2 linked regions of the Coturnix japonica genome follow. The protein of the gene in region 1 purifies or fractionates together with the protein of each later gene. This does not show direct contact. Links are inferred from orthologs where the notes say so. Each region holds a gene or a part of one and is shown on either strand. Other genes may lie near its edges.

Evidence for each region. Proteins that work in one complex are often made in the same cells at the same time.
Region 2: the proteins of PARP1 (region 1) and XPC purify together in Homo sapiens (affinity purification with mass spectrometry; 4 studies listed by BioGRID and IntAct, counting the BioPlex papers as one, with this or other methods). This does not show direct contact. The link is inferred for Coturnix japonica from reciprocal best matches to the Homo sapiens genes PARP1 and XPC.

The regions. Positions count from the first base shown.
Region 1 is NC_029518.1:14,827,983-14,835,093, reverse strand, and holds part of PARP1 (poly [ADP-ribose] polymerase 1), read right to left. Parts: intron 7,055-7,111; coding exon 6,922-7,054; intron 6,203-6,921; coding exon 6,007-6,202; intron 4,832-6,006; coding exon 4,703-4,831; intron 3,704-4,702; coding exon 3,620-3,703; intron 3,406-3,619; coding exon 3,283-3,405; intron 2,899-3,282; coding exon 2,770-2,898; intron 2,207-2,769; coding exon 2,108-2,206; intron 1,628-2,107; coding exon 1,475-1,627; intron 1,178-1,474; coding exon 1,050-1,177; intron 681-1,049; coding exon 619-680; intron 1-618. UniProt on the Homo sapiens protein: Poly-ADP-ribosyltransferase that mediates poly-ADP-ribosylation of proteins and plays a key role in DNA repair.
Region 2 is NC_029527.1:8,363,830-8,371,567, forward strand, and holds the start of XPC (DNA repair protein complementing XP-C cells), read right to left. Parts: upstream 4,849-7,738; 5' UTR 4,825-4,848; coding exon 4,710-4,824; intron 4,511-4,709; coding exon 4,312-4,510; intron 3,435-4,311; coding exon 3,301-3,434; intron 3,023-3,300; coding exon 2,899-3,022; intron 2,805-2,898; coding exon 2,720-2,804; intron 2,228-2,719; coding exon 2,070-2,227; intron 1,882-2,069; coding exon 1,761-1,881; intron 397-1,760; coding exon 307-396; intron 1-306. Other genes in the region: U6 snRNA-associated Sm-like protein LSm3, read left to right, coding at 4,902-4,922, 5,212-5,322, 6,279-6,374, 6,685-6,765. UniProt on the Homo sapiens protein: Involved in global genome nucleotide excision repair (GG-NER) by acting as damage sensing and DNA-binding factor component of the XPC complex. Has only a low DNA repair activity by itself which is stimulated by RAD23B and RAD23A.

The DNA of each region.
Region 1 (7,111 bases):
TTTTAGAAAACTCATTTATTAAGCCTCTCAAAATTGAGCATTCAAGAGAAGCCATTCATTACCAAACACTATCAATCTTTCCTATCTCTTTAAAGACAGTCATGATTACTATTTCTTGTGCTTGAATTAGAGAATGAAGGTTTTTTTTCACTTCTATTTTACTCTAACTTTTTGCTGCTAGAAGTGTAATGAGAACAGCAATTATATCTGAACTTTCATCCTTAGCCTTTCCCTTCTTTACACATCTCCAACACGCTTTGAAAGCTAAACAATTATTCCACTGATCTATCAAGCCTAATGCTTCTTCATACTGCATTGCTGTTGAAAGTGAGTAAGATGGTGGAGAACACACCTTACTTTGTTGTTCTCGTAATATGAAATGAAAGTCTCCTCCTGAACTTCAGGCAGCCCATTAACTTTAGTTTTCCATTTTCAAGTGTACTGACTCTCATCTCAAAACACTCTATATACATGTATTCAGATGCAATTATAATGCTACATACTATGCAAACTCTTAAGGAAACACAGCTACGAAAAGACTGTAGGTCTCTCCGCTGAGAAGAGAGACGGACATAAAGCGACTCTGCCATCAAAAACACATTGCCAAAGAAAACTTACCTTTCACACTATGTTTGCCCTTGGGCAATTTTGTTATGTGAGAAGCATTCTTCAGCTCATACCTGGATAACACAAAGAATACACAACAGTGTTTGATATTCATCTTAAAATTTCTTGGTAAAAAAAAACACAATGTTTTTTCAGGCTTCAAAATATGGTGAGTTAATTTAAATTCTATTTTTCTGAAGCTCAGCAGCCTTTATACTTCAATTCAATGACTAATTTTATTGATACCGGCATCTACAACATGATTCTAGACTTGCAGCATTTTTCTACATCACCCAACAGTTTGTCAAAAAAACACCAATGCTGTTTTTAAAGAAATACAAAGCACTCTTCTTTCAACACTGAAGAGGCTTTCAATTTTAACACAAGCTTCTATTATAATACCCTTAAGCATGTTTAGAAAATGCTCCTAATGAGCTACTTACATATTTCCAAGGGCAACTTCTCCCAGTAGTATTAACCCAATTGGATCAGCCTGAGATGTATGACAGTAGTTGGCACTCTTGGACACCATGTCTGCAAAGTAGATGCCCTTCCCAAACATGTAGCCAGTCTGCAGCAAGGGGAGGAGTGAAGTGGGAAAAGAGATTGAAAAATTCATGCAATAATATCGGTAATATAGAGACAATACCGAATCCATTTGGCTGAGCTCTCAGGAAAGCAAAGCTGCAACTCACACTCATAGACACTATACAGCAACCCACTCTGGACACTGAATGTTGTCCTTGTGCTCGGAGATAACACTGGGTCCTTCCCCAAAGAGAAATCCTACTATTCAGATTCCCTCTGACCATGACCACTTCTGAGCACAAGGATGGAGGCAGCCAGAGAATCTGTCTGTTGAACATACCACAGGAGCTTCAGGGGGAGCTATCCGGAGACCCTGTGACAGGATACCAGCAAAGTTGGTGGTGCGGGAGCCGTGCCACAGCAGCTGGCGATTATGAAGCTGCTTAAATGGCTTGTAACGCTGACTCTCTCCTTCACGTTCAATCCTGAAGATCTTCAGTTCGAAATGAGATAGAAGAAAAGGAACTATTAAGTAAATAAGCCATTATCTTCATGCAAACAATCAGGTAAATAGGTCTACCTGCTATGAAAATTGGTCTAATTGTTTTTCAGTGCTCACAGCCTGCTGTGTCATGCTCGCAAAAGAGGTAGCCTTGATCACACAGGATTGTATTAATCCTTTACTCTCTCTTCTGTATTTTTGTGAGACCACCACTTCCTGAAAAATCATCTAGGGAACTAAAACTTGATTTCAAACAACTACTTTTTAGGCAGCAAATTAAGGTGAAATTTAAAAAAAGCTTAGTCTTATCTCTGTCTAGACTTTTCTATTTAATAAAATACTAACTGGTCTATCAAAATCTGCCTTCAACAAGGGGAATAAGGTACTCAAAAATATAGTGAAGCCATAAGCAAGTAAATAGGCTGATAAAGCTAATCTGCACAAACTTAAACCCCAGTATTCCATACTTACTTCCACAACTTTGAGGTCATATGCATTGTGAGTAGCAGCATGAGTATTTTTCACATATTGTTTAATAATCTTGGCTTCTTCTGAATCTTTGTCAACCACCTGCAAAGAAGCAAATGAGAAGGTCCTCTAGAATACAAATTTCAACAAATACTCAACTAGAGAACTGCTGACAGTGGCAACAGAAAGGCACCTCTGGAAACTTACATGACTTTCAATTGCCCTGTTCAAAGCAAAGTTAACTGTAGCAGATTGCTATGCTCTGAGTCCAGTCATGCTTTGCAAAGATAGAACCCATCAGAGCTTCTCTGGGCAACTTTCACAGAAAAAAAAATTATAATCTCTCATTTCAATTTGTTCCCATTGCTTTTCATTCTATCAGCATATACTACCAAAATAAAACTAATCTGCCATGATATTCTCTATTCCCTTCCCCCACCTAATATTTATACACACTGGTAAGATACACCCAAAGCCTTCTTTCCTCCTCATTAAAAAGCCCTAGGTCTCTTAGCATCACCTTGTGCAACACATGCTCCAGCACCAAAGCCATCTTGGTGGACCTTCTTCAATGCATGTGTCCACTCTAAGCTTAGCTGATCTGTTAACACTCCAACAAGACATCAGCACACATTCCTTGTCAGTCACTCTTTTTTTTTTTTTACCTTAATATCAGTTCGGAGCTTTTCATAATTGATATCAATTGGGTCTTTATCTCCATCTTCATTTCCACCTCTGAGAAGACTGTAAGCAACCTCAATATCAAGCAAGTTGTCCAACATCTGCACTTTAGCCTGAATAATTCAAATAAGTTATTTTATCGCATCACTGATGTTCAGAATAACTATAAAATATTTCCAAATTATAAAAACATATGTGAAGCACAGGCACTGGCATTTAACAACACTGCCTTTGAAATATATGTTTATATATAATACACACGTTCATGCATATATATACACAGGTTACAACTATGTTTATGTATCTTCTGAAACTTTATATATAATCTCCATATGTAAACACACATATAAACAAACAAAAAAAATCAGATACCCTGAAAAACCCACAAGCTTAACCTCATGAAAGCAGGGAATTGAAATAATTGCTCACAATTCATGAATTTAGTGTCTGGTATCAGGCCTGTTGCCTGCAAACAACACACTATTTCTAGCAATTACCTGGATGTATTCTAAGTTACTGAGAAGAGGTGGTTTCTTCATCCCAAAGTCATGAGGGATCAGCGTATAGAAACGGTTTGAGAGGTCCAGGATCTGGGATTCCGAACCACCGTCAGAAACTGCCTATACAAGACAACAAGCAGCAAAAGAAAATTACTGAATAGGCCAGAATATGGCTCCACAGCAACAGGTGCACACAGGATACTTGAGGACAGACAAACAGAAGCAGCAATAGAAATCACTAATCCAGCAAACATACACAGCTCACCATTCACCCCATTCCAAAACACACAACAACCGAATTCCCCACTTGCTCGAACATCTCTGTCCCACTCACCTGCTGAACCTCATTAAGGATGGAGTATGCACTTTGGATCTGTCGCTTGCTCAGTTTCCCCAGTGGCATCTTCTGCAGGTCAATCTGATAAAGTTGTGAACAATTAAAACAGGATTTCACTACACTGAAACTGTTCCAGGGAACAAATCTCTCCAGATTGGTTCATACAAAGAAAAGAAACATTTCAGACTTGGTATTAATCAAGCAGTAGTATCAGAAAGACAGCTCTTGCTACAGACAAGATGTTCTATAAACAAACCAATGCAGCAACAGTAGACCACAAAACACTAGGTGTCTGACAGGGATTTTAGCATTAACCTACTGTCAGAGGTGCTCCTGAATCACTGTGGTAAGCATACATTTCAGGCTAATAATGAAGCAATATGAAAGAATTCCTGCTCATAAGATCTTATGTATAACTACACACAACCCACACACTCTCATCGAGCCCCCAGCTTTAATGCTACAATAATCAATAGTCAAATGCACAGAGGTTACAAGATACTTAATACTTCACATCCCTGTCTAAAAAAAATGAGAAACAACTAAGTCAGAATTGGTGCTTTGACTGCCCGCATTTATCTATTAACTTATTTCATTTCTTGCTGTTCCTTTTGTATTCATGGATCTTGAACGAGTTTCAGATTTGCACTAAATCTCCATATATTATTTAAAACAACCAACTGGCAGGATCTCTGCTCCTTCAATGCAAGGAGAGCTAGTACCAGACTGATCTGTAGTAGTGTGAAGGAAAGAAGAATGGATGAAAAGAGGGTATCATTAGAACAAATGAGAAATATAAAAAACAACAAATAAAATCTATAGGTTGGCCTAGTTCACAAGGAGATGTGATACAGACATTCCCTACTGTAGAACAAAGAACACACTCATGTGCATCATAACTAAGTTATTACTTCCACTGCTTGTCAAACCCTGGTCAGACTCCTGCCCTTATTCAATACTGATCTAAAACCAGCAGTGACTTCTGCAAAGTACAATACCCTGGACTGCAAAGAACTTACTTCAGGATGTGCAAGTATGATATATAGAGAATAATCGAGACACATGCACGTGTGTAGTCACCTCAAATTCCACCATGGCTTTCTTCATGCTCTCCACATCAAAAATCATCTTAATAAGGTCCTGGATTGGCTTAGCAAGCTTTGATTTAGTCCCAGCACTCACTGTCAGCTTCCTGACAGCTTCTTCATCCTGGGAAGAAAATGTAGTACCAGAATTAGTAAAATCACAAAGGAAAAGGTGACAGACTGGCTGCCATGGTAACTAATTTAAACCAATTTAATGTATGCATAATATTACTAGCCTGAAGTTCATAGGAAGCGCTGGATGCTGCTCTGACTTTGTGGAGCAAAGTGGCTTCAGAAATGTGCCTGTTCAGTAATTGGGCAGAAGTGTTTCAAGAGGCGGCATTGTAAAATAAAGGTAGAATTAAGGGAATTGAACTGTGTACATCTCTGCTTTAACTCAAGCAGCCGTATTAACTCGTTCTGCAAGGTTTAGTTGCAGAGATCATAGCACTAAAAAAAAGAATGCTTATTTCATTGTTTTATAACAACATAGAGATACAGTAATTAGTTTCGGTATGATTTTATAATAAAAATGGCCATCAGTGTGTACAGGCATCATCAGTTAGAAGCAATACTTCCTAGGAGTTTTCCTGGGTAGAGTGTTTCATCCACAAAGCATCTGCCAGATGCTTCAGTGCCATTGCACACCGCAGTATAACAGACAGTTTCCTGCTGCAATATTCAAATTTCCATTAAGAAAGCTAACCATGGACTGCTTCACACTGAAAGACGACATCCAGTAACATGGCTACAGAAAAATACAATGGCTTCAAAACCTCTGATGTCTTTATAGCTATTAGCAGCATTCAGCTATGTTACCTAAAAATAGACTAAGTTATGGGTATGTCTTTATACAAGTACATAAACTCCCACCGGGTAGAAGGGATAGAATTCCTATTTAGTATAGCTGTCTAAATAGCCAAATCCTACTGGTAACAAATATTTTCTCCTTATCAGCTTGCTCAACATACACACTGAGCACTGGGCTGCATTAAGATTCATTTTACCATTTGGGAGAATTTTGAATGCAGAAAATAGATGAAATTTTAAATAGAACAAAATGGGGAGCTTGTGAAATGACTGCTTACTTCATCTCAAATTAACTTCTGTAAGATTACACAGAGTAAACAAGAATAATTGTCCCCCCTGCAGTCTCCTTGCTGTGCTTACCATAATAATTTGTGCAGCAAAACCCCTGCACTTCATCCCTTTGTTTGTTAAAGTGTCAACGAGCACAGAAGAGTTACAGGAAAGCAGCTGAGCAATGCTCTACCTGGCATAGGGACATTTAACAGTTACCTGTCCATAATCTATTTCCAGTGGGTAGAATTTTTTGGGATATTTGGTGAAGTTCTTTGAATGCCAAGAATTGCCAGTTTTTTCTTCATACAAATTTAGGAAATGTTCAACAGCATCTTCTTTTGATGGCATCTGCTCCAGCTTGTTACTCCCAATGACAGTGCCCACACGACCCCAGGATCTGAACACCCAGTACCTAAGAAGTGAAACCCAAGAAAAAAAAGCAGATGTAAAGGTTCTGGCTCTATAGACCTCAGCCCAAATGAAACCGATTCTGCAACTGTGAATCAGCCATTTGCATGTTGTTAATTTAAGGAGACATTCTGCAAGAACGCAACAGAAGAGCCACCACAGCATCTATGTCCAATAACAGGTGTAAAGAACACCTGCTGTAAACACACCAGACGTACAGCTCTGAAGATGATTGCACACACAGCACGAGAGAAAAGGGGAAAGAAAAAAAGAGGCTATTACCACTTGAGTCAATATTTTACAAACACACATCTTCAGACTTTTCAGTTCATGTATTTGGGAAAAAAAAAACAACAAATATGGGGAAGACTCCCGACATCACAGACCTTATGAGTGGGCTCCTGGATGTTAAAACAGAAAAATCTCCTGTATTTTTATGGGCTGCTGTCAGTCACAGAGCACTGAGACCCTCCTGTCTTCTTAGGACTAGGTTAATTGAATATCCATTGTACGCACCTCACTCATCCCACGATGCGCAAATGAATTCAAACAATTCAACAGCTCCCCCTTAGCTCCTCCCACCTTTTAAAACAAACATATCTATCTATCCATAACTCCTTACAGCAACATTTTACTTATTTCTTCCTTTTGTAGAAGCCAAAATTCCAGAACTCAGTAGGAAAAAAAGCAAACAAAGTCATTTCAGGGGAAAATTGAACTCACCTGCTCTCTCTGTCATCCTCTAGCAGCTGCAGTTTGTAATAGGAATTTGTTCCTTTCACAATATCCACCAGGCCAAGAGTTGCACTGAAAATCTTCCCACCTTTTTCAAAGACATGAGCAGAATCCTCCAAACCTACAAAGAAGGAACAGAATTAGAATACAGAGGTTACCATTTTAGGTTTCTTTCCTA
Region 2 (7,738 bases), on another chromosome or scaffold:
TCAATTTGCTTATCTCAGGGACCTGAAAACTTCAGGCAAATGACTGAGGAGAGATGTACTCCAGCAGTGTTTGCTGTGAAAGTTTTAAAGAAATTTAAAGCCACTAAAGCACGAGAAGTCTTTGCTTAAGCATATACAATAGGAGGTGGTTTGGGTTTGCATCTGCTGCTATATAGACAAAAAACACTGTCATAACAATGCTTCATGCAGTAAGTGATCCACCTCAAGTTACAGCAGCTAGAAAGCTTTCTCACTCCTTTTGGGGAGCAACCAATTAGGGAATTTTACACACCAAACAAAAACTACCTTTGCCTTTGTCTCCTTGAGAGGAATGGGCTGCAAGGACAGCACGAGGCGACACAGCAGCTGCAGAGCTCTGAGAATAATTAAAAATATCTGCAAAAGATAAAATAAACCATGTGCAAAGTTTTGGTTTTTGTTGTTCTTTTGTTTGTTTGTTTTTGTTTTTTAAGGTGTATGAAAAAAAAAAAAAAAAACAAAAAAAAACCCTTGAAACTCTTTCACATCCTGGGTTCGGTCAGAAACCATTTTCATTCCTGTCTTTTACTCAGTGCTGTAGACACTGACACAGATGTGTAGCCCAGATGCTATTACATCAAAGCACTGTCTTCCCTCGTTCTTACTCATATTAGAACAGTGACAGAGGTCCTGCTGTTAACTCATAGAAGATCCATAGCCTGAAGAGTCTAAATGACTCACCCAGATCCCATTTATCCTCTACCTTCCTCTCATTCTTGAAGCAAACTGAATAAGATTTCTCTAAATCCTCCCTCCCAGAGGTTGCTAAGGCCAACTACATACCATCAACTGAACCCAGAAGAAACACCAGCTATTTATTACAGTCCCAACTGAGTGGCTAGTAGCTGTGAACTGCCACCTGCTTTCCTGCATGGGACTTAAAAGAAGCTGCCATTAGTAAGTGTCCAAAGCAAGGCTTGCATTGTCTTTACTTCCTGCCACAGGAGGCTGCTTTTTGTATTTACACAGCACGGTTGCAAAGACATCACAAGAACCACTTCCTGCTCTGCAGCACAGAAGCTGCAACATCCCAGTATATCAGCAACAGGGAAGAGCTGTAAGCCATGCACCTGCAAAGCAGCAGCTCTTTCAAATGTCCTATCAGTTTTATCTCCTCTGTTTCTTCTTCCCTCGATTGCTTTACCGAAATCTCTGTACAACTTGAAACAACTGACTCCACTTCTTGTCTTAACCCAGTTCCACCAGAGAATGACTGCAGAGCTTAAGTGTTTTCTTTCCAAACCTTGTCCTCAAGATGCACTAAATCAAAACTAAATTCTGTTGGCATCCAGTGGTTACTCTGATAATAACCAGCTACCAACCTTCTACCTCAAAGATCTGTGAAGAGTTTCTCTGGCTGCAAGTAAATCCAAGAATTTTCTTACTTAGATTAGTACTGCAGGAGAAACCTATAAACTGCTTTTCCTTGACTAAAAAGCAATATGAGGAAGCCACAGCATACTTATAAACAAGTAGTTCCATGCACTATGCAAAGGCATCCACAGAACAAAATAAACCATGCAGTGGTACCAACAAGAAGTTTCAGTTAATACAGTTCAAACTAAAGAATTTAATCACAGGATTCCATATAAAAATACAAAAAAAAAGAAGAAAACAAGGAATCGCCTTGTTTCTCCAAATTAATCCCTTAAATACCACTTTGCTCGCAAGGATCCAGCATCCAAATTCAACAACCAACCCTGCACTTCCCAGTCACTTACATGAACCAACTCTTCATCATCTCGTGCAGCATAGATGGCAAAGCGCCTCTCCAGGGTCGACTGAAGGGGCTCTCCTTTTTCAGTGGAAAGCTCATCATTGACAGTGAAGGTTCCAACAAACCTGAAATGTGAGATACCTGTTTATCGTCTACTGTCATGAATATACTCTTAAACTTCACAATTCATCCTTTCCTTCTTCACAAAAAACACTCTTGTGTTTAAATTCAAAACAATCAGTGAAGAAATGTAATTACATGTACCCCTGTCCCTATATTCTATGTGACAGTAGACTAGGAGATAGTATATTACCATTTCACCAAGTTGGAAATGTAGAGAAGATCCACTTGGCTTGCAGGAACTTTTGTGAAGTGTATGGGGATGATGGATAGACCAATTGCATGAAGATCTGGCTGGCTGCAGATCCTGTTCCTATAGAAACCATTTGCTAATAAACACAAGAGATGAACCTGAGAGAAAAAAGTTTCTATAGTGAGTTCACAAGAGATGTTCTTTGCTGGAACTACTGTCCATGGTGATGACCAGGATGCCTCTACTGCTCCTTTTGGCAGAGACAGGCAACAATGAAACCTCCCAAGCACAAAAAGGGTGGGCACAGGACTAAGTGGTGTCCCAAGGCAGTAAAGCCTTGCAGTACCTGTCCGTGTCTCCTGTTCTACATCCGACTGACAGTTTAACCCAAGTAGAACAAGCAGATGCACACCACAGAGAAACATATACCCTACTTGAATCTGCTTTCATTTAAATGTTTACTAATTCAGTGACTGACATTTCTAAGTTACAGATGAGGAGAAGGCCAATGAGCATCTGTCAGGAATACAACATTGTTATTTTTTCACTTCTAGCCACGGCCCCAAATTATTTTATTCAAAACCTACTTTCTTTTTCATTACGTATCAGTTCAGAAATCTCAAGCACAGTCTTTTCTTTTTGACCAGTACCTTATGTGTGTCCTCACGAACTTCCTTAGTGAAACGTTTAATCATTCTTCGAACATAAGTTTCAAACTCAGCTTTCCTTTTCTCTCTGCATAAGATTAAAAAATAAAAGGATATTATGGCTTCCTGTCTATCTGCCTTCCTAGATTCCTGAGCTGCTCTCTACTACCTTCCATTTTTACCTTCTCTGTCTCTTCATAAGTTGTTCCGGGGTTTCAATCTCTATCTCAACAGGATTGCTCGGCAGCACAACTTCAGGAAGAACAGCACCTTCTTCTAACTTATCTACAAGAGGCTCCTGGAGTTCTGGGAAAAAACAAACAGAATGTTACTAGATATTGAATGAACAATGAATAATACAGCAACAAATAGTCAAATTCAAAGCACTACCTTCAAAACAGCAGTTGTATGTTTCTTTCCTACTTTGGAACTATTCCAAAGTATTGCGAGATAAGAGCCTATAATCCAGATATGCACATGAAGCATACTCTTAAGTATAAGAAGTATACAAAACAAGGAATGGCTCAAAAAGGACCTGTTGCATACAAGGATGTTTACAACTAGAATAGACACGCAGTTGTTACCTTCCACGTCCTCCCATTCATCTTCACTTTCATCATCGTCATCATCATCATCAGTATTGTCTTCATCCATCTCTTTTTTAATAGGAGATTCTCTCTTCAACTTTACCTCCTTCTGAGGGGCCTTCACTGAGTCACTATTAAAATTACAAGAATGGTTTTAGCATCAGGAAGTGCATGGGTTTGTTCATTTAAAAATGGAAGGGAATGAAAACAAAAATGAGGAAATAAACAAAGCATCATCTCTGCATCAGTAACAACAGATGTAAAGGTTGTAAGTATTTGACAACTGAACCGTGTGTGTGCCTGTAAAGCGAGCAGTCTTTGCCATGAATAATTACAGGCTCGTTGAACAACAACGTTTCAGTGCAGACACAGGTCCTGGTTCTAACAGGTTGTTTGAATGAAGATGACTGAACCTAAAAACAATGACCCATCTTTCCTAACAGCTTGTATGAATGTCTTCATTGAATCATTTGTCTTTACTGAGACCTCATAATGCACTGGGATTGGAAGTGCTTGTGTTTCACTACGCTAACACCCAATGATTTGGTTGGCCAGTGAAATGAGACCAAGCAGCTTCATTCTTCTCATTAATACAATCCCCCTTGAAATCTCTACAGGAAGACCATATATCTCACAGCAATGTTTCTGTTCATGCTCGATGCCATAAAACCTCCCTAGTCTTGTGTAGAAATAAATGAAACGCTATCTTACAATTACGATATTGATTTGAAAAGGCTCAGATATTTGCTTCCCATGCAGACTGCCTTCCTCAGACAGATCCTGCCATCAGCCAGGCAGTACTTCTGTACAGCTGTGTGTCACAGACAAACTAAACTGGCCTGCCAGCTTAACGTAACCCCTTTATGTGAACATTGTAGGGCAATGGACCCTACACAACAACCACAACATCCAACCCACAACAACCACAACATCCAACCCACAACAACCACAACATCCAACCCACAGTGAGGTACAGAGCGCATCATGATGAACAACAGCTAAGCTTACCTGCACTTTTCCTCTTCGTGATCATCCCCTTTATTTTCAGGGTCTCTCTCATTTTCTTTCACTCGCCCTTTTACCCCTTTTTGTTTTGAAGGCTTCTCTGCTAACTTAGCAATTCCAGCATCACTGTCTTCCTCCTTCTTCCTAGCTGCAACTCCGGCTCTGCTCTTCTTTACACTGTGTTTTTCTTCAACAAAATCACCTACATCGAAAAGAAAGAAATTTTCTTCATGGATATAACCTCATCCCTATGGATACATAGCAATATCTCTGCAGGCTCCAGCAGAGCTGCACTGAACAACTCCAGCCCCGGCCCATCATGGGGGGCTGCTGAGCTCCATGCTGACTGCCTCCCTCCCTCAAAGCAGAGCAGCCCCAGAAGCCGAGCCTCCCACACTCACCCTCCTCACGTTCCTCCGCACCATCCCGCCGTACTCCCACCCCTCCAGGCCGCCTTTTGCCGGCAGACACCCGCTGAACCGACGCTTTGCGCTTCCTCGCCATAGCGGCGAGCATTACCCCGCCCCTTCAGAGCGGGGGGAAGAGGCCGGGCCATAAAGTATCACGAGAGAGAGCGAGAAGCGGTTTGAAAGATGGCGGACGAGGTGGATCAGGTGAATGGCTCTTTACTTTTCTTAGGGGGGAGCGGTGTTTCTGCGGCCACCCCGGCTGCCAAGTGAGGTGGTGAGGGCCTGAAGAGAGAGCTGGTGGGTTGGTGGCACATCCGTGTGCCTTCCCTTTGCCATATGCCGTGCTGCCGTGTTGGTTTGAGCCATGCAGCCTGTCTGCTTCTGTGTGGATACTGGGACTTGAGGGAGCGTTTCAGAATGCAAACTGAGGAGTGGAGGAGTTCGTATTCACTGCTCCTGCGTGAATAACTGCTTGTTTCGGTGTTGTTTTCAGCAACAGACAACGAATACCGTCGAGGAGCCCCTCGACCTCATCAGGCTCAGTCTGGATGAGAGGATCTATGTGAAGATGAGGAATGACAGAGAGCTCAGAGGCAGGCTGCATGTGAGTGCCAATTCCAAGCAGGCAGCAGGCTGTGCTGTTATGTGCAACTATTTGTTATGTTACTGTAATGTGCTCAACAGCAGCGCTTGGTTTGTGCAGTGTTCTGCCAGAGATTCAAAAGGTGCATTTTGTTTTTCCGTGTCTGTTGTCTTTTAAATGATTCCAAGTGATTCGTTCTCTTGATTTTTGCTTTTATTCCCATGTCTGTGGACTAAGTAATAATGCAGGCATCATCTCATAAAGGACTCTCGACTCTGTTAAGATGGAAATAAGTATATCAAGCAACTGTCTTGTAGAGCAAACCCAAGGACTGCTGGGATGTGTACTCAGCTGGGTTCTCTCCATACTTGATTTGTTCTTTGTTTTCTTTTGAGAGCGATGTCTCTTAGTGAGACAAACTTTTGTTTTCTGTTTGGTTGTGTTATCCTTCTGGAATGTGGTGCTGTGCTGAGGAAGGGAACCAGTTTCCCATGTGGTAACTGGGCCTCAAATACATTTGAGAACAAAAAGGTGAGGACAGATCTGTGATGCACTGGTATAATTCCTAAGTTCCCTTTGTAGGGTGTTTGGAACAAGTGCTTAATTAAAATTTATGTATTGTTGTTTGAGTTACAGCTCTCATAGCTATAGATAATCCAATCCCAGAAATCTGGGCTGATAGCAAATAATATTTAGTTGGATTAATGCTAACGACAAGAACAAGTGTGTCCACCTCTGAGAGTTTGTGCATGAGCTTCAGAAGGAGAGTTTCAGTGAGTATAAGAGCCTTCCTTATGCTGTGGAGTACTGATGTTGGCCTTTATAGTTGAAGTTACAGCTGATACATCATGTTCACACATGGAACATCTTGACCCAAATCAGGTTAAAATAATTTTGTTTGAGTGTCTTGCTAGAATTATGGATTTAATGAGCTTGTGCTTGAATTTTGGAAGAAGTAATGAACTTTGTTCCTACAGGCATATGATCAGCACTTAAATATGATTCTGGGCGATGTGGAAGAAACTGTAACAACAATAGAGATTGACGAAGAAACATACGAAGAGATTTATAAAGTAAGGACTTCAGTGTATTTACCTCCATAGAAAACTTCTTGCAATCTAGATTGTCATGTTGTCAAAATAATGTGTTGATAACTGCACCTTTTGGACTAGGATCTAGCAGGTGTTTTAGGCAAATTGTTATGAAAGCACAAAGGACATCCAGGTGCTTGTTGATTTTGATATCTTCAGCAGGACGCGAAGTTGCATGTTTGAGCTGATGTTTGTTGGTGTTTTTTTAGGATTGAATTTTGTCACATGCTTAGTAGATGTGTTCTGTATACTTCTCTTTTGTAAATGTAATCTTTTCTTTGCTTCTTCATAGTCTACCAAAAGGAATATTCCGATGCTCTTTGTCAGAGGTGACGGCGTTGTGCTTGTAGCTCCCCCGCTGAGGGTTGGCTGAAGCAACCAAGGATTGAACCTTCTTGGAAGGTTTCAGGCTCTTGGACGATTTGTTTTGATCATGTCTCAGAATTGCATACACTTTTTAATAGAACGTTTTTGCCTATTTTTTGTGGAAGAGGAATGAGTTTTTCTTGCAGAAAGTACCTGTCAGCTGAAGCAGTGTGAAAACCTCATTTTCCCCTGAATTAATGTAACTGCTGTAAATGAGCTGTGTGTGACATAAGTAAAAGCACCCTGTTTTTTCAATCTTGGGAATAGCAGTGTCTTTTTTTGTTTGTTTTAAATAAATTTGGTTTACCTTTCAGATTTGATGTGTTATGTTTTTGTTGAAAAGGTGATTTTAATGAACTTCTCTAGTGCTAATGCTGTATTAAGTTGTGATAATGTGGCTTTGCTTCCTGAGAAAGCAGTGACTTGTTTGGTGTTTTGATTTTTGTCCATACTGAAGTTTTCCAGATTGATGTTTTGGAGGAGGGCAACACTGTGTTGGTCTATGGTGTACTAATCTATGGTTTTATGTAAACATATCCTTGTAGGAGAGAAATTCTGTGTCCTGCTTAAAATGCATTGATAGAATAGAATTTTTACAGCTTTTTCAGATGCTTCTCTTGCAGCTTTGTTAGCAGAGCAAAGCTTAGCAATACCATCAGTAGGAAACAAATTTAGTAGCCTGATTTATGCATTCATTTGCCACCATTTGTAGCCATTTTCAGTTCTTGAACACATTAAATTCTGTAGAAAACCAAAGATGCTTCCTGGTTATCAGTGGGTGCACAAGAGCCTTGTACACTGCTTTTTTTAATACATAGTTTCTCAGGCCTTCCTGATTGCACTTTATTCTCATGGTGGGGCTGGAAGGGGAATGAATGTTTTACTTGGAATGGCTATGGAATGTTTTACGAGTATATTTGAAAGGCATATTATAGACATAGACTTGGGCATTTCTTGACATACCTTAACACACAGCTTTA